Linked DNA regions of Cricetulus griseus. The protein of the gene in region 5 purifies or fractionates together with the protein of the main gene of each other region. This does not show direct contact. Links are inferred from orthologs where the notes say so. Each region holds a gene or a part of one and is shown on either strand. Other genes may lie near its edges. The genes, in order: Tgfbr1, Snrnp70, Szrd1, Ddx20, Strap and Csde1.

The links.
Region 1: the proteins of Strap (region 5) and Tgfbr1 purify together in Homo sapiens (affinity purification with western blotting; 3 studies listed by BioGRID and IntAct, with this or other methods). This does not show direct contact. The link is inferred for Cricetulus griseus from reciprocal best matches to the Homo sapiens genes STRAP and TGFBR1.
Region 2: the proteins of Strap (region 5) and Snrnp70 purify together in Homo sapiens (affinity purification with mass spectrometry; 3 studies listed by BioGRID and IntAct, with this or other methods). This does not show direct contact. The link is inferred for Cricetulus griseus from reciprocal best matches to the Homo sapiens genes STRAP and SNRNP70.
Region 3: the proteins of Strap (region 5) and Szrd1 purify together in Homo sapiens (co-immunoprecipitation; 3 studies listed by BioGRID and IntAct, counting the BioPlex papers as one, with this or other methods). This does not show direct contact. The link is inferred for Cricetulus griseus from reciprocal best matches to the Homo sapiens genes STRAP and SZRD1.
Region 4: the proteins of Strap (region 5) and Ddx20 purify together in Homo sapiens (affinity purification with mass spectrometry; 3 studies listed by BioGRID and IntAct, counting the BioPlex papers as one, with this or other methods). This does not show direct contact. The link is inferred for Cricetulus griseus from reciprocal best matches to the Homo sapiens genes STRAP and DDX20.
Region 6: the proteins of Strap (region 5) and Csde1 purify together in Homo sapiens (affinity purification with mass spectrometry; 3 studies listed by BioGRID and IntAct, counting the BioPlex papers as one, with this or other methods). This does not show direct contact. The link is inferred for Cricetulus griseus from reciprocal best matches to the Homo sapiens genes STRAP and CSDE1.

Annotation. Positions count from the first base shown.
Region 1 is NC_048595.1:96,063,141-96,068,213, reverse strand, and holds the start of Tgfbr1 (TGF-beta receptor type-1), read left to right. Parts: upstream 1-1,858; 5' UTR 1,859-1,869; coding exon 1,870-2,101; intron 2,102-5,073. UniProt on the Homo sapiens protein: Transmembrane serine/threonine kinase forming with the TGF-beta type II serine/threonine kinase receptor, TGFBR2, the non-promiscuous receptor for the TGF-beta cytokines TGFB1, TGFB2 and TGFB3.
Region 2 is NC_048599.1:154,285,907-154,290,342, reverse strand, and holds part of Snrnp70 (U1 small nuclear ribonucleoprotein 70 kDa), read left to right. Parts: intron 1-1,840; coding exon 1,841-1,942; intron 1,943-4,299; coding exon 4,300-4,387; intron 4,388-4,436. UniProt on the Homo sapiens protein: Component of the spliceosomal U1 snRNP, which is essential for recognition of the pre-mRNA 5' splice-site and the subsequent assembly of the spliceosome. SNRNP70 binds to the loop I region of U1-snRNA.
Region 3 is NC_048595.1:12,131,158-12,135,593, forward strand, and holds part of Szrd1 (SUZ domain-containing protein 1), read left to right. Parts: intron 1-2,936; coding exon 2,937-3,039; 3' UTR 3,040-4,436.
Region 4 is NW_023276806.1:51,318,637-51,323,860, reverse strand, and holds the start of Ddx20 (probable ATP-dependent RNA helicase DDX20), read right to left. Parts: upstream 3,042-5,224; 5' UTR 3,014-3,041; coding exon 2,713-3,013; intron 2,357-2,712; coding exon 2,262-2,356; intron 168-2,261; coding exon 1-167.
Region 5 is NC_048601.1:11,296,426-11,301,338, forward strand, and holds the start of Strap (serine-threonine kinase receptor-associated protein), read right to left. Parts: upstream 3,057-4,913; 5' UTR 2,840-3,056; coding exon 2,728-2,839; intron 1,515-2,727; coding exon 1,379-1,514; intron 1-1,378. UniProt on the Homo sapiens protein: The SMN complex catalyzes the assembly of small nuclear ribonucleoproteins (snRNPs), the building blocks of the spliceosome, and thereby plays an important role in the splicing of cellular pre-mRNAs.
Region 6 is NW_023276806.1:53,913,326-53,917,210, forward strand, and holds the end of Csde1 (cold shock domain-containing protein E1), read right to left. Parts: coding exon 3,790-3,885; intron 3,506-3,789; coding exon 3,342-3,505; intron 2,485-3,341; coding exon 2,352-2,484; intron 2,003-2,351; coding exon 1,955-2,002; 3' UTR 716-1,954; downstream 1-715. UniProt on the Homo sapiens protein: RNA-binding protein involved in translationally coupled mRNA turnover.

The DNA.
Region 1 (5,073 bases), on a different chromosome or scaffold from region 5:
ATGCATTAAATAAAAATCTTTTGAGATCTTATGCAAGACACACACTAGACTAGAAAAAGTAAAGTAGGTGGAGGGGCATCTTGGCATTTGTCTGTGATAGGATCGGGGAAGTGGCTGAGGCAGGAAGATTCCAAGTTCCAGTCTAGCCTGATGTACATAGTGCGATCCTGTCTTTAAAAACCAAGGGTACAGGGTGGTGGAGCAATAGGTGAGTGGTTTAGAGCATTGCTGCTCTTGCAGAGAAAGGGGTTCAGCACCTTTGTCAGGCAGCTCATAACTGCCTGTAACTCCATTTCCAAGGGATCAGAGGCCCTCTTCTGTACTCTAGGAACACCTTAACAGGGTGCATCCTTGCAGGCACACACACATACATTCTACAAATAAGCCACATCCCCCAGCTATATCCCTTATTTGTAGGGTACTTGCATAGGTCTTTGGGGTGGGAGTGAGGTGGGGGCAGGCACTGGAGATTTCGGGTGTGCCAAGGCCCTCTAAGCCTCCCAGAGCCTATTGCATTTGAAGTTGACCAGTCTTTGCTGCCTCACTGCACTTGAGCCGGGCAAGCTGGGGGCTGATGATTCTGGAGCCCCAGAGAGCAGGCCCTGAGAGCCAGCCTGTTCAGGCTCTGGCAGGTGGAGGACTTGCTCAAGCATGCCCCAGCTGCAGCCAAGGAGGAGTCTCAGACCCCATCTCTAACCCCCACGGTTTCCCTTCATAGCAGGATCAAACTCTTGGAGAGTGACTCTAAAGCAATTTACCAATCGATACCAAAGGCCGGCTGATTCCTACTACCGAGCTTTATTTAATTACGAGTTCAAATCACACAGAAAATAAAATTTTCTCCTTAAAAGGTTCTGCGGAAAAATGCTGCCGGTGCCATGCGGCCGCCTCCGTGGCTGTGTTTGTGTCTGAAGAAAGGACTAGTCTGACAGGAAGAATTACAAATCTGGAGCTCATTTTGGCGTCCCAGAGGGAAGGTGGGTGGAGCGTCTCACAGTAAATTAGGAATTCAGAATGAAAGCGGAGCTGAGTTTATTTGGGTTTTTAGTGACACCTCGAAATTATTACACAGGCGTGTCGGAGACAGCTCAAAGTACCTTCGACTGCTCCCGCTTCGCCCCGGGGCGGGATGCTCGGCAGGGCAATCCCCCCTCCTTCGAAACCCGTGGGACTCTCGGCTTCCCTGCGGGGTCAGGAAGGGTGGGAGGGAAGGAGGGCGGCTGGGATCCCCGGTCTGGGTCTGTTATGCTGCTGAGAGGCAGAAGGCCAATCGGGGGTGTGTCTGAGCTCCACCTTGGGTATCCGAATCTGGGATCCGACTTTGGGACTGGAATTTGAGGAGGGGGCGACAAGGTCTGGGGCGGACGTAGAGAGCAGGAAGAAATCAGGTTATCTTTCGGGGAGGCTGGAAGTTGAGGTGTGAGTCTAGGGAAGGGAAGTTGAACTGCGGACGGTACTGAAGGACTGAGTGTCGAGAGTTGGGCTTTGCTGTGTAGGGTGGTGCAGGGGAAGTCAGGGTGGGGTTGGGGTAGAAGAAAAGAGCGAGCAACGGTCACAGTCTTTCCCTGAGCAACTCGCACAGGCACACTCTGCGCTTAGCCGGGACTTGCGGGCTCCGTCTCGCGCGCTGGCTGGACCCTGCCCCCACCCGCCGGTAGACCGCGAGTCGCCCCGCTGTGGCTGGAGTAGGGGCTCCCAGCTGTGCGGGGGCGTGGTCAGAGGCCCAGCAGTGCGGAGGCGTGGTCAGAGGCAGAAGCCGGCGGCCGCTTATTGGCCACCCAGAGGCCCCGCGGGCGGGGCTGTCGACTGGGTCCCTCTAGGGCGCTCTCGGGCGGCGGGGAGGCGGGGTCGGCGGGAGCCGGCCAGCCAATGGGCGCGCGTCCCTCGAGCAGTTACAAAGGGCCGGAGCGAGGCCGCGGCGGCGGCGGGGAGGTGGGGCGAGGCGAGGCGAGGCTTGCTGAGGAGAAGCTGCGGCCGGGGCCGGGCCGGGCCACAAACGGTGGCGGCGGGACCATGGAGGCGGCGGCTGCTGCTCCGCGTCGCCGGCTGCTTCTCATCTTGTTGGTGGCGGCGGCGGCGACGCTGCTACCGGGGACGAAGGGTGAGCGGCAGGCGGGCGGGCGGGCGGCTGCGGGGCGCGCGGGCCGGGCCCGGCCTCTGGCTGGCTTCTGCTCTTTCTCAAACATGGCGCGGGGCCGGGGGCGCAGGTGGCGGCGCCGGCCGGCCCGGGCTTTCCTGACCCGGCAGGGCCACGCGAGCCGAGGCGGGGAGGAGAGGCGGGCGGGGGCGGTGTCAGGCGCGGGTGGCCGAGCGCCGGGAGGCCGGCCCTCTTAGGCTCCCCGGGGGCAGCGACGGGCTAGCCTGCGGAGGTCGGGGGCTGCCCTTAGGGGCGCAAGGCTGGCCGGGACGGTGGCCCCGGTGGCCCTTCCCAAGTGCGCCGGGGCCTGGGGCTGCTGGGGCGTGGGCGGGCACCGGAGTGGAGGCGCTCGGGGGCTCGGAGCGTGGAGGGCTCCCCCGGGGGTCGTAAGGGGCGCCGGGGGCTGAGACCCCGGTTGGGCGGTTCTGTCGTGAGTGTCGGCACCCGCCAAGGGAGACTCTTCTTCCACCGGGGGCTTTGTGTGAGAAGCAGGCGCGAAGATGCGCGGAATGTTCTCCTTTCCTGCGTCTAGGAATAGTTCAGAGTCCAGTAATCAGAAGGCTCCGGGTTGTCTTGGTTGTAGAAACTTGAACGTTTGTTCACTCCAGGTTTGGGAACGTTTTAATGGGATTGATCCTGTAGAAATGGCCGAATGCTTCATTTTCTCGAAGGAATCGTTGTTTTGGATATATCGTTTCCTTAAGTGAAGGTAGTTTTAGATCAGACATCTGTAGCTGGGTTTGGGGGGGGGGAAGGTGTTGTGTCACCCCGTGGAGGGAAGAGTGAAAAACTTTACTCTTTGTTAGTAACCAAATTAAAACAGGAGAAAACAAAATACCGAGGCTCAGCATTAGCAACGAAAATGCAGTGAAAATGCATTTCTGTTGCTGAAATTGGATAACAAAATTTTTTAAAAAGCAAAAGCCGAAAAAAGTCCCTCAGGACTGTGGGTGCCGGCTATTATTAAACTTGATAGTCATTACTTATTAGGAGTCGATTTTAATGCATATACAAAAGGTACACCATAGTACAGTATCTGAGACCTGTAACTTAACTATCAGGGCTATCTGTATATTGACATGAAAACTAAGGTGCAAGAGATTTAACGTCTTACTAAGTGTAGAAGTTAGGATTTGTGTTTAGGTCTTTCAGAGTTCAAAATCGGGGCACCTGCTACACCAAAGTAGCATAGCCCAGGTAAAGAACAGTTGATATTTAATTCTTACAACTTAGGTGTCTTTCTTTATTTACTTGACCCATTCACATAGTATACAGTGGGTTTTAACATTGGCTTAGGAAGGAAGATAACTGTGGGCAAAGTGGGAGAATCGTTATAATTATGCATCAAATTTAAGTGGCCATTATTCTACACAGTTATTTGACTAAAGTAATTCATTCTTTTCTACCTAGGACAAAGCAGGACACATTCATATATTTAGCAGTATTGATTTGGATGCTGAGAAGGTTGGTCCATGCCCTGGAGGAGTTTATCTCCTACTTAGGCAATTGTGTAGTACAAAACTGGCCTAGATGCTTTTATTACTCAAAGCCTACACTAACACTTAATAAACTTTTCCCATTTGCTACCCTCATTTCTCAAGAAATTGTATGTAACCTTGAATATATAGATGTAGAAAGCAGGTATATAAGTCAAACATACTGATAATAGATCATAAATAAAATTATTTTAAAAATAATTCATTGGCACATACAGTTTACTACTGTTTATTAGAGATTAAAGCAAATTCTCATTGTAATGAAGTGGGTGAGTTTATTTTTACATAGAGAATTAAATCATCCAATGCCACCTCACATAATTGCATATGTTTAGAGCCATTTCAGAAATTGTTGTGTCTTAATCACCAGATGAAATTATTTTAACAGTTTTTAAAATGAAACTTAACAACTTAAACAGTTTTTCAAATCAAACATTCTAACTCAATACAATTAAGGATACACCCCTTTGATACACATGGGGAATGAAAGTCTTTTGTAGTTAATCAAGTTTCTGAAAAAGTAGAAAATTTTGTATGTACAATAAAAACATTAAAATTCGTAAAATAGGGGCTGGAGAGATGGCTCAGTGGTTAAGAGCACCTTCTGACTGCTCTTCCAGAGAACTTGGGTTCAATTCCCAACACCCACTTGGCAGCTAACAACTGTCTGTAACTCCTGTTCCAGAGTACCTGACACACTCATGCAGATATACATGCAGTCACAACACCAATGCACATAAGTACAAATATTTTTTAAAGCCTCATAAAATAATAGTCCAGACTCTGTTGGCATTGCATAGCATGACAACATGTGTGTTCAGAACTAAGGCTGCAGTGAAGTTGCATCATGCAACACAAACATGCACCTCCAGAAACATCTCAGAGTCATTGCTCATTTGATTTTGACTTACTTTTGGGTGTTGTGTATTCAGAAGCCCTTTATTGTTGCCAGAGTTGTTGTGACCCCCCCCCCACCTCTATATGCAGTTATGACTCCGTTTAAGAAGCAAGAAGCTATGGCCAACCTGGCATAGTGGTCCACACCTTTAATCTCAGCACTTGAGAGGCAGAGGCAAAGAGATCTCTGTGACTTTGAGGACAGCCTGGTCTACATAGTAAGTTCTAGGACAGCCAGAGTTACAAATTATACAGACCTTATCTCGAACCCCCACTCGCCCTAAAAGGAGGAAGCTGTGGCCTAGATAAGTTAGGTTGATGTTTCAGTGTATCCTTTTATATATTCAGAAGAAGCTCACATGCCTTTATAATTTAGCTTCTCTTAAAACTGGAAGTGCTCTTTACTGTCTGAGTATGATTTATATTTCACTGCCAGCTTCTGTTTTCTCCAATACATATTTTTGTAGGGAAATTGGTTCCTTGTCCCTGGTACACAGTATTACTGTTTATAGCTGCATCACATGTTAAAATGCTGTTTGTTGC
Region 2 (4,436 bases), on a different chromosome or scaffold from region 5:
GCAACTGATGCTCAGTGCCTGAGCTCCCCAGAGTGCATGGATTTGGGTTTGGGTTATGGGAGGGGTGGAAAAGGCTTCAAACAACTGAAGGTGTGGTAGTTTTTATTAAACATATACTGAGGCGGAAGAGAGGGAAAGAGAGAGAAGCCTAGACTGACACAATCACATGGTCTTGTTGCTGTTCTCGGGTTGGGCCTCTCCTGGGGTTTGGGATGGGGAACCTGAGCAGGGTTCCTGTACTTGACTGACCTCAGTTCTCAAGTTCCCTTCCCTGTCACTCTGCTCTGGGATTGGGGGCCAATCGGCCCCTCCTGGAGCATGGGAAGCATCCTATTTCCTGGATCCCAGGTGTCTCCCTTGTGTGCCAGTCTCAGCTGCTGCCACTAGTGGGCGGGCATATGGAATTGGAGGTGGAAAAGCCCGACCCCTGTACTGAGTGTTGGGCCTGTGACTAGTGGAGCATGACTTTTCAGGGAGTGGTGAGGCTGCAGGTGCTTTGAGGCCTTGGGGCCTGATGTTTAAGGTCAAACAGGATAGACCAAGCCCAGGCTCAACTCATTCCTCTGTGAGGCTCTGAGGCCCCTTTACTTCCTTCATCCACCTGTCTCTAGGTGATATGGGAAATGTAGACTCTCCCTCTCCCAAGACCTGGCTACCTACCCTGTAGCTTTAGCTACCCCAATGGTGGTGGGTGTGGGGGTCTGTGTGAGTGCTCAGGTAAGCTTGGGGTCTCCAGGTAAGCAGTCCCGTGTCCCACCCCCATCCCCCGGGAAGCCCGCCTCCTCACCAGGCCCCCAGGAGTTGCCGAGCCCCCCCCATCCCGCTCGGTTTGGACACCCGCAAGGCCGGCATCGGTAAATGGCACCTTTTTCTCTTCCTCTGGTTTTTATTGGGGGGGAGCGGGCAGGGGTGGGGCAGGGTATTGTGGTTGGTGAGCACAGTCCCTTAGGCCAGGGCTGGGACCTGGACAGGGACTTTTTAACATCCCTGCCTGATCACAGGCCTGAAGGCTGGGCCTCCCCACTCTGTCCTATGCTCCTCAACTTCCCTGAGGGCTAAGGCTGGGCTGTGTGCCCTGCTGGCCATTGAGCTTGGCCTGGAGGACAGAGCTGACCAGGCTAGGTGGTGGCAGGGTCAGTCTGCTCAGGTAAGGCAGGGATTTTGAGTAGCACGGCACTTGTACCTCTGGGCCCAGCCAGGGTCCTTGGAGGCCCCTGGGGAGCTCAGCACCCACCTCTATCTATCCCTGCCAGTTCCTTAAAGTCTCCACTCCTGTTCATTTCTGTTCTGATGTCTGTTTCCTCGCACTGACCTCCCTATGAAAACACAGAAAAAGAAAACTGGTGTGGCCTGGGTGTGGAGGGGCCCAGTGGGCCTCCTGCCTCAGCATGGTGTCTAGGGTGCATGCCTGGGTGTGGAGGGGCCTAGCCAGCCTCCTGCCCAGCATGGTGTCCAGGGTGCATGCCTGGGTGTGGAGGAGCCCTCCCCACAGCAGAGGCCAGCATTCAGCTAACCTCCAGTTTCTTTGCAGCAACTTTGGCCACCCTGGCATGAGGGGGCTGCTCCATCATATGGGAGCTGGGGGTGGCCAGGGTGAATGTTTTGCCCCCCAATGGCAATTGGGGGTGCCACAGAGGAATCAGGGACTGGATGGAGCAGGCCCTTCGGGCGGGGGGGGGGGTGAGACGAGGGCTGTCTGGCTGTTGGTTGCCTGGCTGACTGGTGGGTGTGTGAGTGTATGTGTGCAGATGGGGTTTGAGGGGCAGGGATGCTGTTGCATGGATCCTTGTCTGACTAGAGCACCTTCTGGGGAATCCCCCCTTCCCCACATCTGTTGCAGCCGCTTACAAGCACGCAGATGGCAAGAAGATAGATGGCAGGAGGGTCCTTGTGGATGTGGAGAGGGGCCGGACTGTGAAGGGCTGGAGGCCCCGGCGGCTAGGTGAGTACATTTTGCCTTCCAGGTACCGGGGCTTGTTTGTGGATCATTTTGCCTTCAGTTTCCCCAACTCATATGCTGCCTGTTCCCCTCTGTTTCCAGCTTGTCTTCTCTCATGCTCTTCATGGCTTAGACACAAACACCTACACATGAGTGTTGAGGGATACACAAACACCTACACATGAGCATCCAAGCCTACCCTGGTCTTTCCTGAGTGAGTGACCAGCAGCAGCTCTTGTTTCTGCATTGGCAGTAACTTCAGCACTGCCCTCAGCCACCTAACACCTAGTGTACTTGCTGTCTATCTTAGGCCAGGTTGGAGATGTCACTGGCTCCAGCTTTGAGCCTCCTCTCATTGAATGGTTTCTTCATTCACTCACTGTCTGAGTCACTAGCCCAGTTTCTACCTTTACATCTGGAGCAAGAGAACAGCAGCCTATGTGTGCTCTGACCTTTCATCTGTTTCCTTACTCACTCCCTTTATAGTTGTTATTGGCTATCTCCGTCGGGGTTGTTACTGTGGCAGGTCTGGAAATACATATGAGGGTTTTGAAGCATAAGGAAACGAGGGACCTACTGATGCAGGACTCTTGTCTCAGTCCTAAGCCCATGGACTTATGGATCCTCACCAAGAGGACTTTGAGGCTGGATGTTGAGAGATTGTGGACAAGTGTCATTCTCTGTGCTATTTGCCCATCTAATAGCTTAGTATTAGGCTATGCCTGGGATGCAAGTCTTGTGTGCCAGGAGTCTGTCTTGGGCAGCATTACCTGGCTTTGCTGAGTTGACCTAGCACCCCAACCCCCAGGGGCCTCCAGTTCTTAGAAAAAGAATGAGTACTTGAGGTTTGTGCTGGGAGATTCCTGAAATCTCAGCAACAAACCAGTTGTCCTGGTGTACAGACTTGCTGATAATGTGATAGTATGGGTTCACTCACACAGGCACACATGTAACCTTTGTGAAGCTTTTGCAGTACTTTTCCATATAAAGTGTGTAGAAGCATTTTTTATTACTTGAGTGTAGTTCTGAGAAAGGGTCTCAACGTGAAGCCCAGGGTAGCCTCTAGCACATGGTGATTTCTCCTGCCTTGCCCTGTTGAGTGTTGAAATTACATGCCTGGCTGTTTATTTTTAAAGAATTGTTTCGCTTGGTTTCTGAGGTTTCAGTCTCTGGCCTTACTGGTTCTGTTGCTTTTGAACTAGAGTGGTAGAGGGTAGGAGCTTGCCTCATCTGTGAAGAGAGGGTTTCTTTTTAAAGATGCTGTTGACATCCTCTTGTTTGATGGCCTAGCCCATTGTTAAGCTGGAAGTCTGGGTCCTGCTTTGTAGTAGTCCAGCCTGTTACCTATCCTAGTTTAACAGCCTAACATGTGACTGACCTCTGTCTTGTGTGAAGCACACTCTCACCTCTCTGGACCCTCTTCAGGTGGCTGGTGCAGGAGACCACAGACATGTGGGTTTCTCAGCTAGAAACTTGGCCTTCCTTGCCAAGTCACTGGGAGCAAGTGGCTCATTGGTGGTCAGGTACATACCACCTTTCTAGACCAGGCATTAAATCTGTGCAAATTCAGCAAAGTCCCTCTTTTTGTGGCACATCAAAATCTGAAGGGGTGAAGTTGTGGTTACCTTGCACAGTTGGTGGGCTTGAAAAACCCGCCTGACAGGCGCTGGCAGCCTATGACAGTTTAGTGGAGTAGCATGGTATGTTGATGAGAGCAGGATCTGCGTTGGTGCTTTGAGACTGACAGGGAAGTAGAAGGTAAAGACAAGGAGAGCATGCTTACTTGAAGGAAGATAAGGTTTATGCCTGTTGTGGGGAGCAGGGCAGCTAAGGAGGCTGAAAATGAAGGGTCCCCTGGGAAGCGGGGTGTGGCAGGTCTCCTTTTTCTATTTTCTCCTTTTTCAAGGTCTCACTTTGTAGCCTTGGCTGGTGTAGAGCTCATTGTGTAGACCAGGCTGGCCTCATGCTCAAGATAAACCTGACCCTGTCTTCCCAAGTATGGGATTGAAGGGGTGTAACACCATGCCCAGCTTCTTTCCACTTTCCTATGGGTTCACACTTTTGACTTTGTGCACAAAAGTGCAAGTTGCTAGTGTGCTAGTCTGGAGTCTCAGGTCTCAGGTGAGGTAGATTATCTTGGGAGGCATGAAGGTTCTTGTTAGGATGTCTTTGAGCTCTAGCACCTTGGCATGAAAATAGGTTATTCTGTGACAAGAGGACATGGAAATGATTGGCATGGGATTGTGCTCATTGCTGCCAGAAGAGGTACCTGGTTTTTGTCAGCTACTTAGGAGCCCCTCTCAAATTTGTCATTTGTACTCTGTTCCCACTGACCTTGTGTTCCTTTGCTTGACTTGTAGGAGGTGGCCTTGGTGGTACCAGAAGAGGTGGGGCAGATGTGAACATCAGGCATTCGGGCCGAGATGACACTTCTCGATATGATGAGAGGTAAGGTTGGGCACCTGGTTTCTTGGGACAGAGTGGTCTGGGGCATCCT
Region 3 (4,436 bases), on a different chromosome or scaffold from region 5:
TGAGCTCTGCCCAGGACCCCAGAAAAAAAAAAAAAAAAAAAGCCCAGTACCTGGGTCTCCAGCAGCCCCAAGTGAGTTTTTGCTGAAATTTTGATATTTTCATTTTTTTTTTAATTTTAGATTTGAATTATGTGTGTTACTCTCTGATAACATAGTATTTGTTAAAACTGCTTTTGGAGCCGGGTAGTGGTGGTGCACGTCTTTAATCCCAGTAACAGGGAGGCAGAGGCAGATGGATCTCTGTGAGTTCAAGGCCAGCCTGGTCTATAGAATGAGTTCCAGGATAGCTAAAGCTATACAGAGAAACCCTGTCTTAAAATAAATAAATGCCCAAAATTAAACAAAACAAAACCTGCTTAGGAGGTTGGAGACATGGCTCAGTCCGGAGAGCGCTCCAGCACATGCATGTGTGACCTGAGTTTGGATTCCAGTGCCCACGTCAAAGCTGGGCACAGGCTTCTGAGGTGGCTTAGCTGGGGGTAAGGGCGCTTGCTGCCAAGTCTAACTGCCTGAGTTCAGTCCCTGGAACTGTCAGGGTGGAGAGAGAACCAGCCCCTGCAAGTCGACCTCTGACCTCCGTTCTCAGGCTTTGGGCTGCTCATGTATACTCATGTACATACACACAGTAAGTGTAAGTGTGGTGATATTTTGTTTGTTCTAACAAATACAGCTTGCCTGAAGATCAGAGTGCAAAGCTAGCCACACTAGTTAGCCACAGAGGCCAGGCAGTGGTGGTGCACACCTTTAATCCCGGCACTCATGAGACAGAGGCAGATGGATCTCTGTTAGTTCAGGGCCACCCTGGGCTACATGAAATTGAACCAGTCTAAAAAAGAAAGAGAGCCCGTACAAAGGTGATCCCAGCACTTGTAGTCACATGCCTTTAATACCAGCACTAGGAGGTGAAGACAGGAAGGGATAGGGCTGGGCGAAGAGGACTATAAGGCAGGAGGAGACAGCAGCTCACTGCAGTCTGAGGAGCAGTGCAGTCTAAGTAAGTCTGAGGATGCAATTTGAGACAGGTTGGCCCCTTTGGTCTGAACATTGGTAGGAGTAAGAATTCTCTAGTGGCTGGCTGTTTTGCTTCTCTTAAGTATTAACTCCAATATCTGACTCTGGGTTTTTATTATTAAGACCAGTTAGAGCTCATGCTAGATTTAACATTTTTGTAAAAAGAAAATATGGTTGAAGATTGAGGAACAACCAGATGTTAGCATGCACACATAAACATACAAAAGCCTATTTTTTTTTTTAAAGATTTTATTTATTTATTATGTGTACAACATTCTGCCTCCATGTATATCTGCACACCAGAAGAGGGCACCAGGTCTCATAACGGATGGTTGTGAGCCACCATGTGGTTGCTGGGAATTGAACTCTGGACCTCTGGAAGAGTAGTCAGTGCTCTTAACTTCTGAGCCATCTCTCCAGCCCCCTCAAAAGCCTATTTTTGAGGCAGGGTCTCGTGTAGCTCAAAGGCTAGCATCCAAGTCACTACTACAGATGGGATAACCTTGAATGATGATCCTTCTGTCTCTACCTCCTGACTGCTGGGTGGGATTCCAGGCGTGTACCACCTCACCTGGTTTACATAGAAATGGAATTAAATCTAGGACTTCATACATGCTATGACACATGTCTAGCCCATAACTTTTGTCTTTTGACAGTTTCACCCTGTAGCTTAGGCTAGCTGGCAGTTCTCCTGCCTCTGCCTCTCCAGTGGTAGGATTTCAGCCTGCCATACCACACAGACTGTTGTTCCTTCTTTTCTCCCCAGTGTTGGGGACTGCACTGTTGGCCTCAAGACTGTTAGACAGGCAGCCTGCCTCGGAACTTGGCTCCAGTCCTCCGCCCTGAAGCCATCTTTGACTTGCTATTCTGGGCTTGGACAGTTGAGTTCCTTTTCTGTCCCTTCTTGGTGCTGTTTTGGTTTGCCTTTTGGCTTTTTGAGACCAGGTTCTCACATGCTAGCGTAGAATTCAGTGTAGCCCAGCTAGCCTTGCACTTAGGGTGGTCCTCCTGCCTCCCTGGCACTGTCACAGGCATGTGCCACCATGTCCAGTGCTGCGTTGTTTTGAAGGAACATCCATTCTGTTTTCTCCTCTTAGTCTGCACCTGTCTGGAGTGGGAAAAGTCCATTTCCTTCTGTCTTCTCTAGTACTAGGAGTCAGCAGCTAGCCTCGTGGTTTGGAGGGAAGCAGGAGGCAGACAGGTGGGTGCCAGCTCGCTCCTAAGCGCGTAGCTAGGGGCCCAACACTGGTGGTTCTGTGCAAGAGGTGCTGCCCATGGCTACTCCTCCCTCCATGGGATGGGGTACACACACTCCCTCTGTTTACAAATAAGTAATGCAAATGAGAGGGTGTTGGGGCGGGGGGAGGGGGCAATGCTGTAATTGCTAGAGGTTAACATAGACTGTGGACCACTACCTCCTTCCCACAGGGAGCTGCCACAGTGGAAAATGTCCCTAATCTGCTTGCCAAAGAAGTAGGCTCAGCTCAGTACCTCCAGTTGGCTGGTAAAACCCCAACCTCAGCCATGGGTTGATTTTAAGGTTCAGGGACTTCAGGCTGAGATGTGGCTCAGTTGGTATTAGTGCTGCAGCACAAGCATGAGGACCCGACTCCCCAGCACCCACATAAATAAAAGCCAAGCAAAGCTACAAGTGACTGTAACCCCACCCAGTGTGGGACAGAGGGGTGTGGAGGAGTTAGATGGATCCCTGAAGCTCATTGGCCAGCCAGCGTAGTCAGGTGGTGAATTCCAGATTCAGTAAAACCCTGTCTTGGAAAATAAAGTGGAGAGCAGTAGAGGCCACCTGACGTCTCTGGCAGTACACACACACCTATGCACACGTCCCCACACTCAAACAGGTACAAAAGAATGATTTGGGCATCTTTTATATCCTAAAGGCCTTCCTCTTTCTTATCTTCCTTTAGGCCAACCAGGATCTCCCAACCCGAAGACAGCAGGCAGCCCAGTAATGTGATCAGACAGCCTTTGGGTCCTGATGGGTCACAAGGCTTCAAACAACGCAGATAAATGCAGGCAAGAAAGGATGCCGCTGCCGCCGCCGCCGCCATCGCCTCCTGGATTGTCTGCCATGGGTTGCACTGCCGTGGCAGACATCTGGACTTGAGCAGAGGGAACGACCTGACTTACTTGCACTGTGATCCCCCTTGCTCCGCCCACTGTGACCTTGAACCCCATGCACTGTGACCTCTGCCTCCCCACCTTCCCACTGTGATTGGCATGTTGACAAGGGCTGTCCCAAGTCAATAGAAAGGGAAAGGGTGGGGATTAGGGGAGGATTGGGGGAACCTACCAAGGACTCAGAGTAGAGGGTCAGACAGTGCTACTTGGGGTAAAGCCAGTGCCAGCAATAAGTTTATCATGCTCATTAATTTGGGATTTCAAAACACAAATGAGAACTGCCCTCACCCACCCCAAGTGCATGTCGCCATCACTTAAAAGTAAGTTCCATTGAAAATATCCTTTCCTTTTTTTTCTTCCTATTTTTGTTTGTTTATACAAATATCTGATTTGCAAGAAAAAGTGCATGGAAGGGGTTTTAGCAGTTTAATGAATTTTTAATTGAGAAAGGGTAGTTTGGTAGTCACTTAAAGATGTTTCTAGGAAATTTGCTAGAAACATTAACCAATAGGATTTTGGTGAGCTTAGCTTCTGTATTCCTACTGCTGCCCAGAAAAGGCAGGGCTCTGGAGCCCCCAGTAGTAGATGAGCACTGTGCCTATATTGCCTTCCTCCAGCTAAGTCCCAGCTAAGTTGCCTAGAGACAGCTCAGAGAGCCAGGGGGAGGGTGCCAACCCCACCTCTAGTATTGTGGGAAATGGGGAAAGTGACAGATTTCCCCTTTCCATACCCCTCAGGGTGGCTCCCTACCAGACAGGTTTGCTGCTTCTAGAGGTGGGTAGGGCAGGGAGTGTCGGGGAGGAGACTATACTCGGGGCTCAGAGCAGGCAGAGGTGGCACTTGTCCAGTGTTTGCTGTCAGCACAAGCCCAGAGGAGTCTGGCTCAGGACTCCAGGCCTCTGCTGGTGTGGTCAGAGGTAGACAGACTAGAACATTTAAGGACCTGTGGCGTGCCACATCTGTTGATAGCCCTGGCTCAGAAACTATACCTGGTACGTTTCCTGGGTGAAATGAGTACCATAGGAGTAGAAAAGTTGGAGAAGAGTTGGGAAAAGAAAAACTTCGCATTGCTGAGGCAGCTGGTTGATAGGTTTCTCAGAGGCCTCTGCTGCCCTTTCCCTTCTTATCAGAACGAGGCTGGTATGCAGGCCATTTCTGTCCCTGAGCCTGGAGATTTGCTTTGGCTCTTGGTGGGGAGAGAGAGGCTTGAGGGGGTAGCTGTGTCCCACCAGGTGCTCTCAGGCTTCCTAGTCTTTCCCATGCACTTCGCCTTATCCCTCAGCCAG
Region 4 (5,224 bases), on a different chromosome or scaffold from region 5:
GGAGATCCAACAGCAATATGACACTTTTTAAGTCTGGTTTTGTCTTGAGATAATGGAGTCCCTCCAATAAAGACATGACATTCTAATCCTTCCATTTTTATTCCAATGGCTGTGATAACAGAATGTATCTGAACAGCAATTTCTCTTGTGGGAGCCAATATCAAAATCTAAAATAAATTATAAATATTACTTTAACAAGTCAGAAGAATACATATGAGTGATACATTCATTGCATGCTACACTACTTTTCATTGTAAGAGGAGTTTTAAAACAGGAGAAAATATTCCATTTATTCGGTTAATTATTAAGAACGTACTATATGGGAGAAAACATACAAGTTGTGAAAGAATTGCTCTCTTGGCACTTTTTGGTTATAACATAAACAAAAACATATACATGTAATAAAAAGTATTATTTAAAAAAAAAAATCAAATAGGGAAAAAAGAAAGACCTGACAAGGGAAATCATTTTAAATGATCAGAAAGCCCTTCCGAAGTGACGTTTTGGCATGCACCTATGATTCCGACACTCTAGAAGCAGAGATATGAGGATTGCCTCAAACTGAAGACTAGTCTATGTTGTAAGCTTCTGTCCAGCTAGAATTAGGTAGAGTGTGCCTGCTTCCAACAAACAAACAAAGAATTTTAAAAGTCCCATAAGAAAGTAACATTTGAGACATACAGCATAGAGCTAGTTGTGGAACACACCAGAAGCAGTGCTTCAGAAAAAGAAAAAGCAAATCCAAAGGCCTTAAGGTACACATAAGGAGCAGCAAAAAGGCCCAGGTACTAAGATTTTAAGAGGACTCTATCTCAGAGTTAACTCCCAGAGTTAGGTTCCAAAGGCCATGAGAGCCACACATAGTAAAAACTGCAGAACATACATATTGTCACTATAAGAAAATATTGCTTAAAAAAAAGACAAGGAAATAATAAAAATATATTTTTTTAAAAATCTCTTAACTCTGGGTACACATCACATATTTAGAGTTCTTTGGTACTTTGTTCTTTTCCCTGAAATTTCCCAACTTAAAACAATTATGTAGTGTTACTTTGATAAACACACACACACACACACACACACACACACACACACACACTTTAATAATATAAATACTTTAACAAAAAAAAGGGAATTTTACTTAGGTTTAGGATTTGGTATGCTGCCAAGTGTCACAAGCCAAACTCTCTCAAACACATCTTAATTTACAAATAGACTAGCCACTGTCCTTAAGTTATATTCAGTATCTGCCAGAATGTGGTGGATACAGAGCTCAAAAAGATTCCTAGACAACAAATACAAGGATCCCGGGTTAAAAAAAAAAAAAAAAAAAAAAAAAAAAAAAAAAAACCAACACTGTTCAAGATTCATCATCACAACAGACACTTCTTAACCTGAAATAAAGTTACTATACTACTACACTCCAGAAGATGGTGGGAGGACCACATCCAACTCATTGCTTAATCCCCAGTGCCTAGTGTAGTATTTGCATGTATTACTAACTGAACAAATCTTTTTGAAGAATTATCTCCCAAACCCATATTTCCTACTAGTTTGAGTAGGACAATCTTCAAACTATTCCAAGGCAACCTAAAATTAAGAGGATCTCTGTGAATTCGAGCCCAGCCTAATATACAAAGCAAGTTCCAGGACAACCAAGGTTACACAGAGAAACCCTTTGGGGGTGAGGGGGGATACAACCAAAAAAACCACAACCATATTAAGTTCTGCCATAGCGTATTATATAAACCAAAACTTTTAAGTTTATTTCTAACCCCAATCTAGTAAGTAAAAGTTTTTTTAAAAAAATTTTTTTAAGATTTATTTATTTATTATGTATACAGCGTTCTGCCTGCAGGCCAGAAGAGGACAGGAGATCTCATTACAGACTGTTGTGTGCCACCATGTGGTTGCTGGGAATTGAACTCAGGACCTCTGGAAGGAGCAGTCACTGCTCTTCATCACTGAGCCATCTCTCCAGCCCAAGAAAAAGTTTCTTAATTGCATAATGATTTTAAGTAACACATATTCAAAATGTAATTATAGAAGACTCCAAATTTAAAAAAAAAACTTAATAATGATATTCTCGGCCACAACTCAACGACCTTACCATCTATGTAGTTTACTTCTGTAATTTTCCTACGGTTTCACATTCTCCGATTCATCAAACACACCATCTGTGAGGAGTCAGTAGTTTTTCATAAGTCTAGCTAGAGGCCACGTGCTACACACCCCCCGTCTGGATCCTCTGAGTTACTCACCTGAGTACTGTAGTTTTCAAGAAGAAGGGAGTCTAGAGCAATGGTGGAGAATACACAAGTTTTCCCAGTGCCAGACTTAGCTTGAACAATTAAATCTGAGAAAGAAAGAAAGAAAAAAAGAAAAGAAAAAAAGAATAGGTATCATTAGCAAGACTCGCTGAAGCAACTAGATACCAATATAGGACCAGGGAACGGCCGGATTCTCTCCTAAGACCACCTAACTGTCACCTATATTTTTAGTTGACCCTGAAGCGCGCGCGAGGCGTGCATCAACCACGGAGACATTTCTCCAGCCCCTTAGTCCCCGAATCTCTACCGCTGCTCGTCTCCAGCTTGGACCCGGCGCCTTCCGATCCAATTGCGCGCCTCGAGCACTGCCGAGCCCCGCAAAGGCGCGGAGCCGGAGCTCTCCGGGGCCAGGCCCCCGCCCGCGGCCGGCCCCGGTCCTCACCGAGCCCGCAGCGCCCCAGCGGGATGGCCTTCAGCTGCACGGGAGACGGCCTCTCAAAGCCGGCCGCCCGCAGCCCCTCCAGCACCGGCCGCGACAGCAGCAGCGACTCGAAATCCGCGGGCTCCGCCAGCACCACGTCCCCGGTACGCGTCCGCGGCCCGCCGATGTCGTGAGCGGTCCGCAGGCTCCACGGGGAGCTGGGAGTCGGCTCCGCGGCCGGGGACCGCACGGCCGCGCGCTCCGCCGCCATAGCGGACTCCGCGGTTGTCAAGGCCGCCGGGGCTTCAAATGCCGCCGCCATGGTAGCCGCGCCTCGAGATCTCGCGATATTTGGAGTCGAGGCGGGGCTCCTGGGAGCGAGAAGAGGAAAAAACTTTATTGTCAGTCTCTCGGTGAAGACACGGACGCACCCGGCCTGGAAGTGGAGGAAACGAACGGAAGTCGGAGGCTGGCGCTCTGGGGACGGACAAAAATGTAGCCTGAGGAAGAGGCGGGAGGAGCGAGGAAGATGAGGCTACCAGTGCTGCCGCCGGCGGCCTGCAGAGGGCGTCGCGTGCCCGCGGTGGGCGCCGCCCGCCTCCCGCGGCTCTGACGGACGGGCCGCGCGGCGCTGCTCCGGAACCCGGCGCTCGCGGCGCGCTTTGTGACGCAGCCAGAGCGTCAGGCTCGGCCGCCGCTGGGCTCCGCTGCCCCGGTCTAGCTTGACTGAGGCCGCGCCGAAGTCTTCGTCCTCCGCACTTTTCCCCGCTGCTCCTCAGTGCTCGCAGACAGCGCCCCGGAACACAGCAAAACGGGGTTCCCTGCCCTCGGAGAGCCCTGTCACGTCGGCGCCCCAGCCCCTTAGCACAGTGCGGGAGACTGACTGGACCGCCAACTCCCAGGCTCTGCGTGGGCGCTCTCTCGAATCTCCAGGCTAATAGAGCTCTCCGGTTCAACTCATTTTGTCTGCCCTTCCTTCCGATCTCGGGTGGGCAACTAGCACACCACTTCCCCTTCCTCTGGACCCGCTCACATGTCACCTTGTTGTAAGAGGTCTTTCTTGAAATCTTTAGTCACCCCCGTCCTGCCTGCTCCCTGGCCTTTCCCGTTATTCTCACCACTTGTTTGATTTTTGGTTTGATTAGCTTGGTTGGCTTTTTCTTTTTCTTTCTTTCTTTTTCTTTCTTTCTTTCTTTCTTTCTCTTTCTTTCTTTTCCTTTCTTTCTTTCTTTCTTTCTTTCTTTCTTTCTTTCTTTTTCGACAAAGTCTCCCTATGCAGCTCAGACTGGCCTCCTGCCTCGACTTCCCAAATACTGAGATGACAGGTGTGTGCCTTATCACCCCTGGTCACTCTTCATGAATGTTTATTGTCTCCCTCACTTCCCCCGAAGGCAGGAAACTATTCTGACTTGTTCTCTTCTGCCACTAGGAGGAAAAACAAAAATCTGACACATTGAACGCTATTTTCCTCTCACACACACCTGCAGAGTCTTTCTCCTAGCTGAGTATTACTCTCAAGTTGACAAGACCTATGACAAACCTCATTTGTCCCTACGTATAATTCTGGTCTTGTTTCCCATATCCCAATTGTGTAGAAATATCTTTGGCAAGGAAATTTCACTAGAAGTGGGAGCTGGAGATGGATTCTGTTTGCTTACTGATTTACAAAATACTCAGCAAGCACCCACTAGCCATGTGAAGGAAGAGGAACTAATAAGGTCCCTCTTAGCTGCTCACGTATTTCATCCACTCTTTGCCCTCACCCTCTTTCTGACAATTTACTGGCAGATGATGTCTCCAAATATCTCCCTCACTCCTTTTCAATATAGTATCTACTCATGGTCTTTTGGTCACTCTAACTATTGAACCCTTCCCTATTGGCCTCCCAGTCCAGATTCTTCTCTGCCCAGGCCATGCACCACAGAGGCATTGAAATGACTTCCTTTGTCTGCTTTTCTCTTTCCTATGGGTTGAAACAACTTTGGCATACTAAGCAAACACTTTACTATTTAAGCACATTCCCCGTCAGAGAGTGACTCATTCCTCACTTCTTCCTTCCTCTCTTAGTTTCTTTTCCTGTTACTGTGACAAAATACTTTGACAAAAGCAACTTAAGGGGAAGGGGTTTGGTTTTGTTTTTCTGGACCACAGTTCAAGGTACAGTCTGTTATGGTGGGAAACTCAAGGCAGTAGGAGCTTGAAGCAGCTAGTCACATTACATCCACTTTCAAGAGGCATACTAAAAGTATACTAAAGGATAAATAAAATGTGTAACTAAAGTGGCATAGTAAGCAGCCTTATAAAAGACGGAAATTCTAACAAATACTACAAAATGAATGAACCCTGGGGACCTTATGCCAAGTGAAGTAAGCCAATTAGAGAAGGACAACTACTGTATGTTTCCATTTGTGTGAATCAGATTCATAGATGTAGAAAATAAAATGGTTGTTAGCAAGGGTAGGGAGATGAGCAAAGAGTTGTTATTTAATGGGTTTAGAGTTTGAGATTTGTAAGACGAAAAAGTGTGGGAGGT
Region 5 (4,913 bases):
GATTCCTCAAAGGCACAGCAAAGTCCGTGCAACATTACTTGTCTCTTAAAACTCCATTAATTTTTAAATTTACATACAGTAAGATTCACTGTGCTGTATAGAAAGGTCTGGAACTCAACAAGGGCATATGGTAATATGTTAAAAGCTGTGTTCATTTTTTTTAATTTAGTGTTTTAATTTGCTTAAATCAAAGGTGGCAACACAGTTTACAATTGCTCCTTAGTAAGAAATTCTTTTAAACAAGAAATCAACAGACCATTTCCACTCTCTAGCTCTTTGGGTCATCGAGGTGGCTCAGTAGACAAAAGATTCAAGCCTGACAGCTTGAACCTATACCCACGCCCCAAACTGTCTTCTGACCTCCACACACCCACCATGCACACTTGCACACCCACACATTTGCACAAGCAATAGCAAATAAAAAGGTGCCTTCATTGGTTTAAAAACAGGTGGCTACAAACACAGGTGTAGTAATATACAATAGAACACATGCCTGGAAAGAACACATACTCACTGTAAGTCAGTTTGATAATATACACAATACCCAAAGTAAAAACAGGTGAAGTGCATTGTGACAATGGTTTAGTACATCAAAGACTGTACCAAAAAGACAAAAGGAACTAGAATGAGGGGATTAATTAATGATTAGTGGTTCAAAGACTGCAGACATTACCTGAGTGAAAAAGACAGCACTTCATACCCAGACCAACCACACAGAACACATTTGAATAATATTTTTAAAGCTCTCCAGGTTACTCTCCTGTACACCCAAGGTGAAGAAGTAAAACTGTAAAGACCAAATCCTCAGAAGAGACATGATTTAATTGACTGATTGGCAGCAATACAACAGAAATAACAGGAAATCCCTAGCAGTGTGGAGCTAAGGTGAGCCTGAACTAAGGCCCTGGGCAAACACAAGAGACTACCAGTAGAATCAAAAATCGAATCAAAAATGAAGGTCTAAGGAAAGTCAAGCATCTTTCAGACTACAATCGAAAGCCATAGGAAACAATGTGTAAGTGTGAGGCCCAGTTTTACATGTATCCTGGTACTAAAAACTGACTGAAAAAGTATCTGGAGATAGCACACATAGCACTCAATTTAGAAACGTCTGTAAAGGGCCTCACCAACATCCATTATCCAGGCTACGTCAATAACCATAAAGATTTCTGGTCTCAACCAAAGGCATAGAGGCAAGTCATTTAAACCTTTCAAGTCTGGGGACTCAGTGATGACACTGGGCACAGACAGCCAGGACGGAATCCTGGTGAGATCAAACATACGTTGTTCTCCATGGCACCAGCTGAGTCAGAACTGAAGATTCTGGCCATGTCACCACACAATTGGGAACAGAGTTAGCCATCTGTGTTGCACTTACGCCGTGAAATCTGCGGCTGCTGTGGCAGCTTTGGTGGCATCCTTATTCAACGTTGCACCCCAAACAGCACCTTTATGACCCAAAAACGTTCCAATCCAGTCTCCTGTATCTCCCTGTCGGAGCATAGGTTTGCCATCTAGAAAACATTTTAAGACACGTGATTTAGAAGCTGGCAGCATAACATCAAATACTGAACAGCAATTGGAAAACCGCTGCTGACTGTTACCGCTTACTCTCATCAGGCGCTGAGGGTCCCCATCATGAAGCACTGATCTGTGCATCTGTGGTCTAGTGAACTAATGGATTCTGGTCACTCCTCTTGGGAAGTGTAAGTGATTTGGGGAATGGCTCAGAGGCCTCCCTCACCTTAGCAAACTCAAGAATTCAAAACACTTGTCTGGAGAGAGGACCCGATTCTGATTCCCAGTGCCCCACATGGAGGCCGACAACCCCTTCTGACTCCAGCTCTCTTCTAAACTGTTTGGGCAACCCTTCACACATGTACAAGGAAGCACACACACAACACACTTGCCCACATGAATAGAAAACTTAAAAAAAAAAAAAGCATAAGTCTGGAAGCCACTGACTTGTGTCAAAACAATCAAGATAGGCGTTCTGACTTTGAACCGACTTTAAACCTTGAGTGTATACTTTCCCCTGGGGGGGGGGGGGATGAGGCCCATACCACAAAGAATGATACAATGAGATGAGCGCGAAGACATAAAAAAAAAAGCACTCCTCTCGGCCTGGCCTCGTTTCTCCTTCCCAGTAAACCCTCGGGAGACGCCATGGAGTTCTGTGTGTTGACAGGCGCAGTCCCCCAAAGAGCAATAAAAACGGGAGGCGAGGGGGGCGGTGAAGGCCATCCCCTCTCTCTCCCTCTTCCTCTCTCTGTCTTTCCCTCTCCCCGTCTCTCTCCCCCTCCCCTCCCTGTCTCCCTCTCTCTCCCTCTCTCCTCTCCCTCTCTGTCTCTCTCCCTCTCCTCTGTCTCTCCCCTGTCTCTCTCCCCCTCTCTCACCCCCTTCCTCTCTTTCCCCGTTTCCTCTCTCCCTCTTTTTCTCCTTCCTCCTTCTCTCTATCTTTCCCTCTCTCTCTCCCCCTCCCTCCCTCCTTCTCCCTCTCTTTCTGTCTCTCTCTCATTCTCCCTCTCTCCCGTCTCTCTCTCCCCTTCCTTCCCTCTCCCTCTCTCTCCTCTCCCTCCCTCCCTCTCTCCCTCTCTCTCCTTCCTCCTCTCTCTCTCTCTCTCTCCTCCCTCTCTCCCTCTCTCTCTTTAGCTGGCAGGTACGATCCCCACCCGCACCCCCTCCCTCCGACAACCGAGGCCCGCGGCCGCGCCGGGCTCGGCTCACCCTTGCAAGCGCTGATCAGAAAGTAGCCGTAAGGCGTGATGCCGCTGAAGGCCAAATCCACCACGGGCCGCGTGTGGCCCGAGCAGGTGAGCGGCGTCTGCCTCATGGCCATGGCGGGGCGGCGGCGGCGGCGGCGGGGAGCCGGGCGAGGCCAAGCGCCGAGCGTGGGTCGCGGGCGGGTGTCCTTCTCCCCCGCACTCACACCGAGCTCGGCCGGGTCAGGAGTCCCCTCGACGCGCGGCCGCCGAGGGAGGACAGGGAGGGAGGGAGGAGGGGAGGGAGCGCCGGGGAGCCGGCCTGCCGCCACACCGTCCACACCGGTAGCGGCAGGAAGTGACGCCCGCCGCCGCGCCGCCGCGCGCCAGCGGAAGTGACGCGCGGCGGGGAGCGGAGTGCGCAGGGCGCGAGCCGCCGCGGACCGCGCGGCCCGTGGTGCTGACGTCACGCGGCCCGCGCTCCCCCGCGGTTGCCGGCGGCGCCGTCGCGGCCCGCGTTAGGCCGCCGTGTGAGCAGCTGGCAGCCTCTCCCGCTGCCCCTTCGGGATGCGCAGGATCCAAAGGTTGTTCCCGCGAGCGGCCACGTGTCCCGGAGCCGTGCCCCGCGCGGCCCACACCCTCCGGAGGACGACCGGGGAATCGAACTCGGGTCGTCAGGGTGGGCGACTAGGGCCTTCGCTCGCCAACCCCAATCTGCACTCTTCTTTATTCATGTCTGACTCAGCAACGTGTGTGTGTGTGAAATGCTTTGTTCGTGTATGATCAGCAAATACTGTGTCTGTCTTTTCTTGTATTTCCTGCACTTTGATTAAACGACGCTGTTACATAAGGCGGGGGAGGCTTGTCCCTTGGTTCTGTGCTTTTCCAAGCAGGGCACTGAATCAAGCAAGAGACGAGTTTAACCTGAAGTTTGTTTGGCAAAGCGAAGCAAGCGCGTGCACCCAAGAGAGTGGAGTGCGATGCCCTGGAGGAAGGATTGGGGAGTAGTCCTCAAGGATTGTGGATGTTACAGACTTTTTTTTTTTTTTATGAATACTTAGGAGGTGGGTAGCATTCTTGGGGGTAAGATGACCCACTTCCTCTCCCAAATCATGGAGAATCAGCTTTCCCTTTTCTGGTTATTCCTTCCATCGATCTGTGGACGAGGGTACAAACAGGTGGATCGAGAAACAAAGCCGTGTAAGCGACATTTTAATGAAGTAAGGATGAAGCAAGGGCCTTTGGAGCATGCCGGCCGCTGGGGAGACAGTGCTACCAACTTAAATCTAGCCGTCTACCCAGTAACAACCCCACTGCCATTCTCTCTCCACTACCGAACATCTGTCTCTGTCTCTGTGCACACACGCCACCACAACTCACACAGTCCTGAGTTCCTAAGTAAAACCGTTATGCCTTCCACATTTATGCCCTGATGTCAGACAAGTGACTGGCATTTTAGTGCACGGTCAGGAAATGGCTATTTACTAATGAGATGGATTGCTGAGTTTGATCCCCAACACCCCCACTAGGAAGAGAGACCTGTGTACTGTGTGATGCTTGAGTATCGTCCAGCACCGGATCATAAGATGAAAATGGGCCGAACCATCCCTGGGGCTTGCTCCATGATCAGTGAGTTCCAAGTACCAGTGAGAGATCCTGTCTCAAAAAGACAAGATGGGTGGATCTGGACCAATAGGTCATTCTTCAGTGACAGGTTCCTGAAAGGAAGGTCCAGGAGATCAAAAGACTGGAAACTTGGGGTCAGGAGGTACCTATGTCTTATGCCAAGCAAATTTATTTGTTTTGATTTTTCAACACCGGGTTTCTCTGTGAACATCCTGGCTGTCCTTGCACTCGCTCTGTAGGCCAGGCTGCCCTCAAACTCTCTGAGATCCACCTGCCTCTACTTCCCAAGTGTTGGGATTAAGGGTCTGTGCCACCACTGCCTGGCACCAAGCAAGTTTATTAAGAAGTTCACCGCCTTGCATACTGTTTTCAGAAGGGGACTGGGAAGTCAGGAAGGTGTGGAACAGAGTCAGCAGAAAGCGATCATACAATGGGACAAAGCAGGAAGTTGGGCAATGTCTCACAAAGGGAACACAGAGTGGTCCATGTGTGTCACAGACCAAGCACACAGGCTTTGGGGTTGATAACTCCAGTCTCTTCAGGCAGAAAAGTCAGGTTCCCAAAAACTGAAACCTGAACTCTTTG
Region 6 (3,885 bases), on a different chromosome or scaffold from region 5:
AGCAGCAATTACGATTAAACTGGCAAGGCAAACCTACAGTACTTCAAAGGCTTCTTTAATGAGTTACTAAAATCAGTTTCAAAGGCATTCATTCGATACACGTGGCCTTCCACTAAGTTCTCAAAAGTGATTCAAACACAAAAACAGTTGAGGTCAGTGCGGCCACGGCTTCTTGAAGACCCGCGTCTACTTTTTAATCGTACTCCGCCCCGCCCTCAACCTACAGGAAAGGAAGCCCCCGTCCTACTCGTCTTGCAAATCCAAGCTCTGGGGTTCACCTGGCACGACCTCTTCCCGAAACTCCCCTTTCCGGCTCCTAAGATCACCCCACCGCCCGCCGCAGGCAACCAGGGTCCCCCACCCAGGCCTTTGTCTCCAGCTCGCCGAGTCTCCGCGTCTTCCTGCACCCGCCAGGCATCCGCACGCCGCGGAGCCTGTCGCCACCCAGGGCAGAGCCTTACCTCAAGCTCCGCTGACCCCGCTTCGGGAGGTTCTTGGACCTCAACCTGCCAAACTGTTAGAGACCCCGAAACCGCCATGAACAGCCCCCACCCGGGAGCAGCACTTCCGGCCCCACCCGCTACGCAATCAGTAGGCGACCAGACGCCCGAGTCCCCGCCCCGGCCACGTGGGCCTGCGACTTAGGAGTCTTGCGGCTGGCCGCACCCAGTCCCTCCCCTCCCTCCCCGGTTTCAATAATGAAAGCGCTGGGTGCTTGTGTCTCAAAAATCAGTAAAACTTTATTCGCTTCCATTCTTTCGCCATTAACAGAAAAACGGAGAAAGCAAAAAATGTCTTGTGTTTACAAAGATAAATGGCCTCTTTACCCAGAGATCAAATACTCAAACGACAACGGGGAAGATGAAAGCGCCCTCCCCACAACCCCTGAGCTGACTCTTGTCATCTTTAGACAAAAAGCCTTCACTCACTCCACTTGCCAGAGACCCTGTTTGGGGCCAATTCAAGAGGGCAGAGAAATCAGGCCAATCCATTCCCGTGATACAAAGTTGAACAGAAGCTACACCAGGATCAAGTGCCTATATTCAACAGGACACTGGAACCAGGGGGCTATTTATAAAAAAAACAGGATTCATTTCAGGCACAACTTTTTTATTTTTTTTGTTTGTTTTGTTTTTAAATCAGTAAAAGAAACTGGGTCCTAGAAGCTGCAGTGATCTAAGCAGCAGCAATTTTGTGCATTCGTCTTTTGTTTAAATATGTTTAAATTATCACACTGCTGGCACACTTCATTTGCATGAAATTCTGCACCACACATACTAATTGTAGTAAAGTTATTTACCCCCATCCCAGGAAGAAAAAAAAAAAACCTATCTGGAAGATAATTTTCACTGAAATGTAATCAAACTCGTTAAGTGGATTGTGACAAGATTATAAATGATATGAAAATAACATTTTAACATTTGGCCATCAACTTAAGAAAATCGTTTGCTATATAAATTTTTGTAATTTTTTTTAAAGGTAATATATTCTACCTTCATATGGTCCTCAGAATTAAAGCATAATGAACAGGAAAGAAAAGGAAAAGAATGCGGCTGAGTGCTAAGTAATGAAGGTAGAGTATATACTGAATAGAGTGCAGAATTTCATAGGGCCAACAAGGTAACAGTCTGTATTGTTCATTTACACAGGCGAAGTGGAATTTGCAATTACCAGTTGCGTTAAATGCACCAAATAAAGCTCCTAAATTGATACTATAAGGCGCCACCTTAAGTTTCCCAGGCTGCAACTGTGCATAATTTTAAAATGGTTTCTTAAATTTATTTATTTTTTTTTTTTAAACATAACACGAGGAAGGTGTTAAAACTGGTGTAATAGCTCAATAGAATAAGTATTCCAGGTTTTGGGAGGGATGAAGAGAAAGATATTCAGAACCCTTCACCAGAATCCCCCCAACTTGACCATAGTGGATTAATGATGTGCTTTGTGGGTGTGATTAGTCAATGACACCAGCTTGACGGATCTTTCTTTCTGCACCAAATCCCTGTGAAGAAATAAAACAGTTAATGATTTGAGTGTATGACAATCACAATATGAAATTCTAAGAAACTATATTTTTAAATTATCATATCCACTACAAATTCTCTCCTAAGAGTAAGAACAAAGTAGACCTAGACCAAGAAGCATATCCTACGACAGGTAAAGCAAAGGCAGAGTGGGGAGTTCAAGGCCACTCTGATCTGCTATGTCCCTATCTTAAAAGGAATGGAAAAAGCTTCTTTCAGAAAATGTGTCCGGAAACCCTAACTAGTGATAAGCAATCCTTGCTTCATTAAGTTCTTTAAATTGAATATTATCAGTTGACCTCCCTCAAATCCCCAATGGAATCATACCATTGAGTTATCTGGTCCCCTTGGCTGACGAAGAACCATTAGACGAGGAGCACTGGCATCATCCAGGGAGATATTCTTCAAGCGATTGACCAATCGATCAGGTCGAGGAGCTGCAACAGCTTTGGGGCCTTCACTGTAAGTGTGAAAGTGAGAAAAACTGACAATTGCTGGGAAGAAGGCAATCAGTGAGTAGGTTTCCTACCCAAATGACTCACTTTTAATGAGAGGGACTCTTGCCTCAACTTAATTGGCTAGCAAGACAAGACAGACAAGTTTGGTTATAGATGCTTTTCTTAATTCAGATGCAATTGGATAGGTGTTGTGAAGAATTGTTTCAGTGAGACCCTAGACTTGTCTGCAGAGAGACTAATTCCACAGGTAACACATGGAAAACCTTTTAAGAAGTCTAACATGAACAGTTCTAGATTTCTATCTTTAAAGGAAACAATGTTGAGATTAAAAACCCTAATAGCATGAGTCATGATGACTAAGGTATAAAAATTAGACATTTAAGCAGCACAGGCCTGGAAATGACTAGACAAAAAAAAAAAAAAAAGAATAAGCTGAATTTCCTAAGAATTTAAGAATTATGTAACCTTTTAATATTGAAGACCAGCACATCCAGTGCTAATGCATAACAGCACCTAAGTGTGTCTCACAGCCTCAAGGTCAGATTAAAAAAAAAAAAAAAAAAAAAAAAAAAAAAAAAAAAACCTGGAGACAGAAAGAGAGATATGGGAGAAGGCACATGCCAGCAAGATCAAGGTCAGTCATAAATAATAAGGTGAGACCTGTCTGAAACCAGTGACTAGAGTCAAAGACAAAACCAGATAATGGCATAAGTGGAAAATAGTACCTAGTACCTAATAAACCCAAACAGACAAGAGTGGGAAAGGAAAGACATCTGGCAAAGCACAGATTATACAAATTAGGGGAATGAACTCAGGGCAATTACTAATCCAACCACAATAAACAAACAAACAAACTCACCAGACTCGCCAAACATTACAGGCACTGCATTTCCCAGTGCGCTGATTAAGAATCACTGAGAATTCCACCTCATCTCCTGCCTGTAACTCAATGCCATCCTGAACTTCTTTCACATGGAAAAAGAGCTTCTTGCTATCTCCTACTTCATAGTTAATAAAGCCAAACTAGAAAAAGAAAACACACACACAAAGTTTACAATGGAGAAAACATCCTGTCTTGAAAAACCAAAAACTACGTAAGTCAGGCATGGCAGTTTAAATCCCAGTACTCAAGAGGGTGAGGCAGGTAGATCTCTATGAATTTGAGGAGAACCTGGTCCATATAGTGAGTTCCAAGCCAGTCAAAGCTATATAGTAGGGGGGAAATTTACATAATATTGGCTGATGACATTTGCTTATCAACATTATCACAGGACAGATGCAGATCCAGAGACATAGCACTTAATTACCTGATCTTTCACACACTCCACAGTGGCCCTACGAAGGGGTGTGATATTGTAGGCCATAGTTTGTGCATTTTGGCCAAGGACACACAACTGGAACTT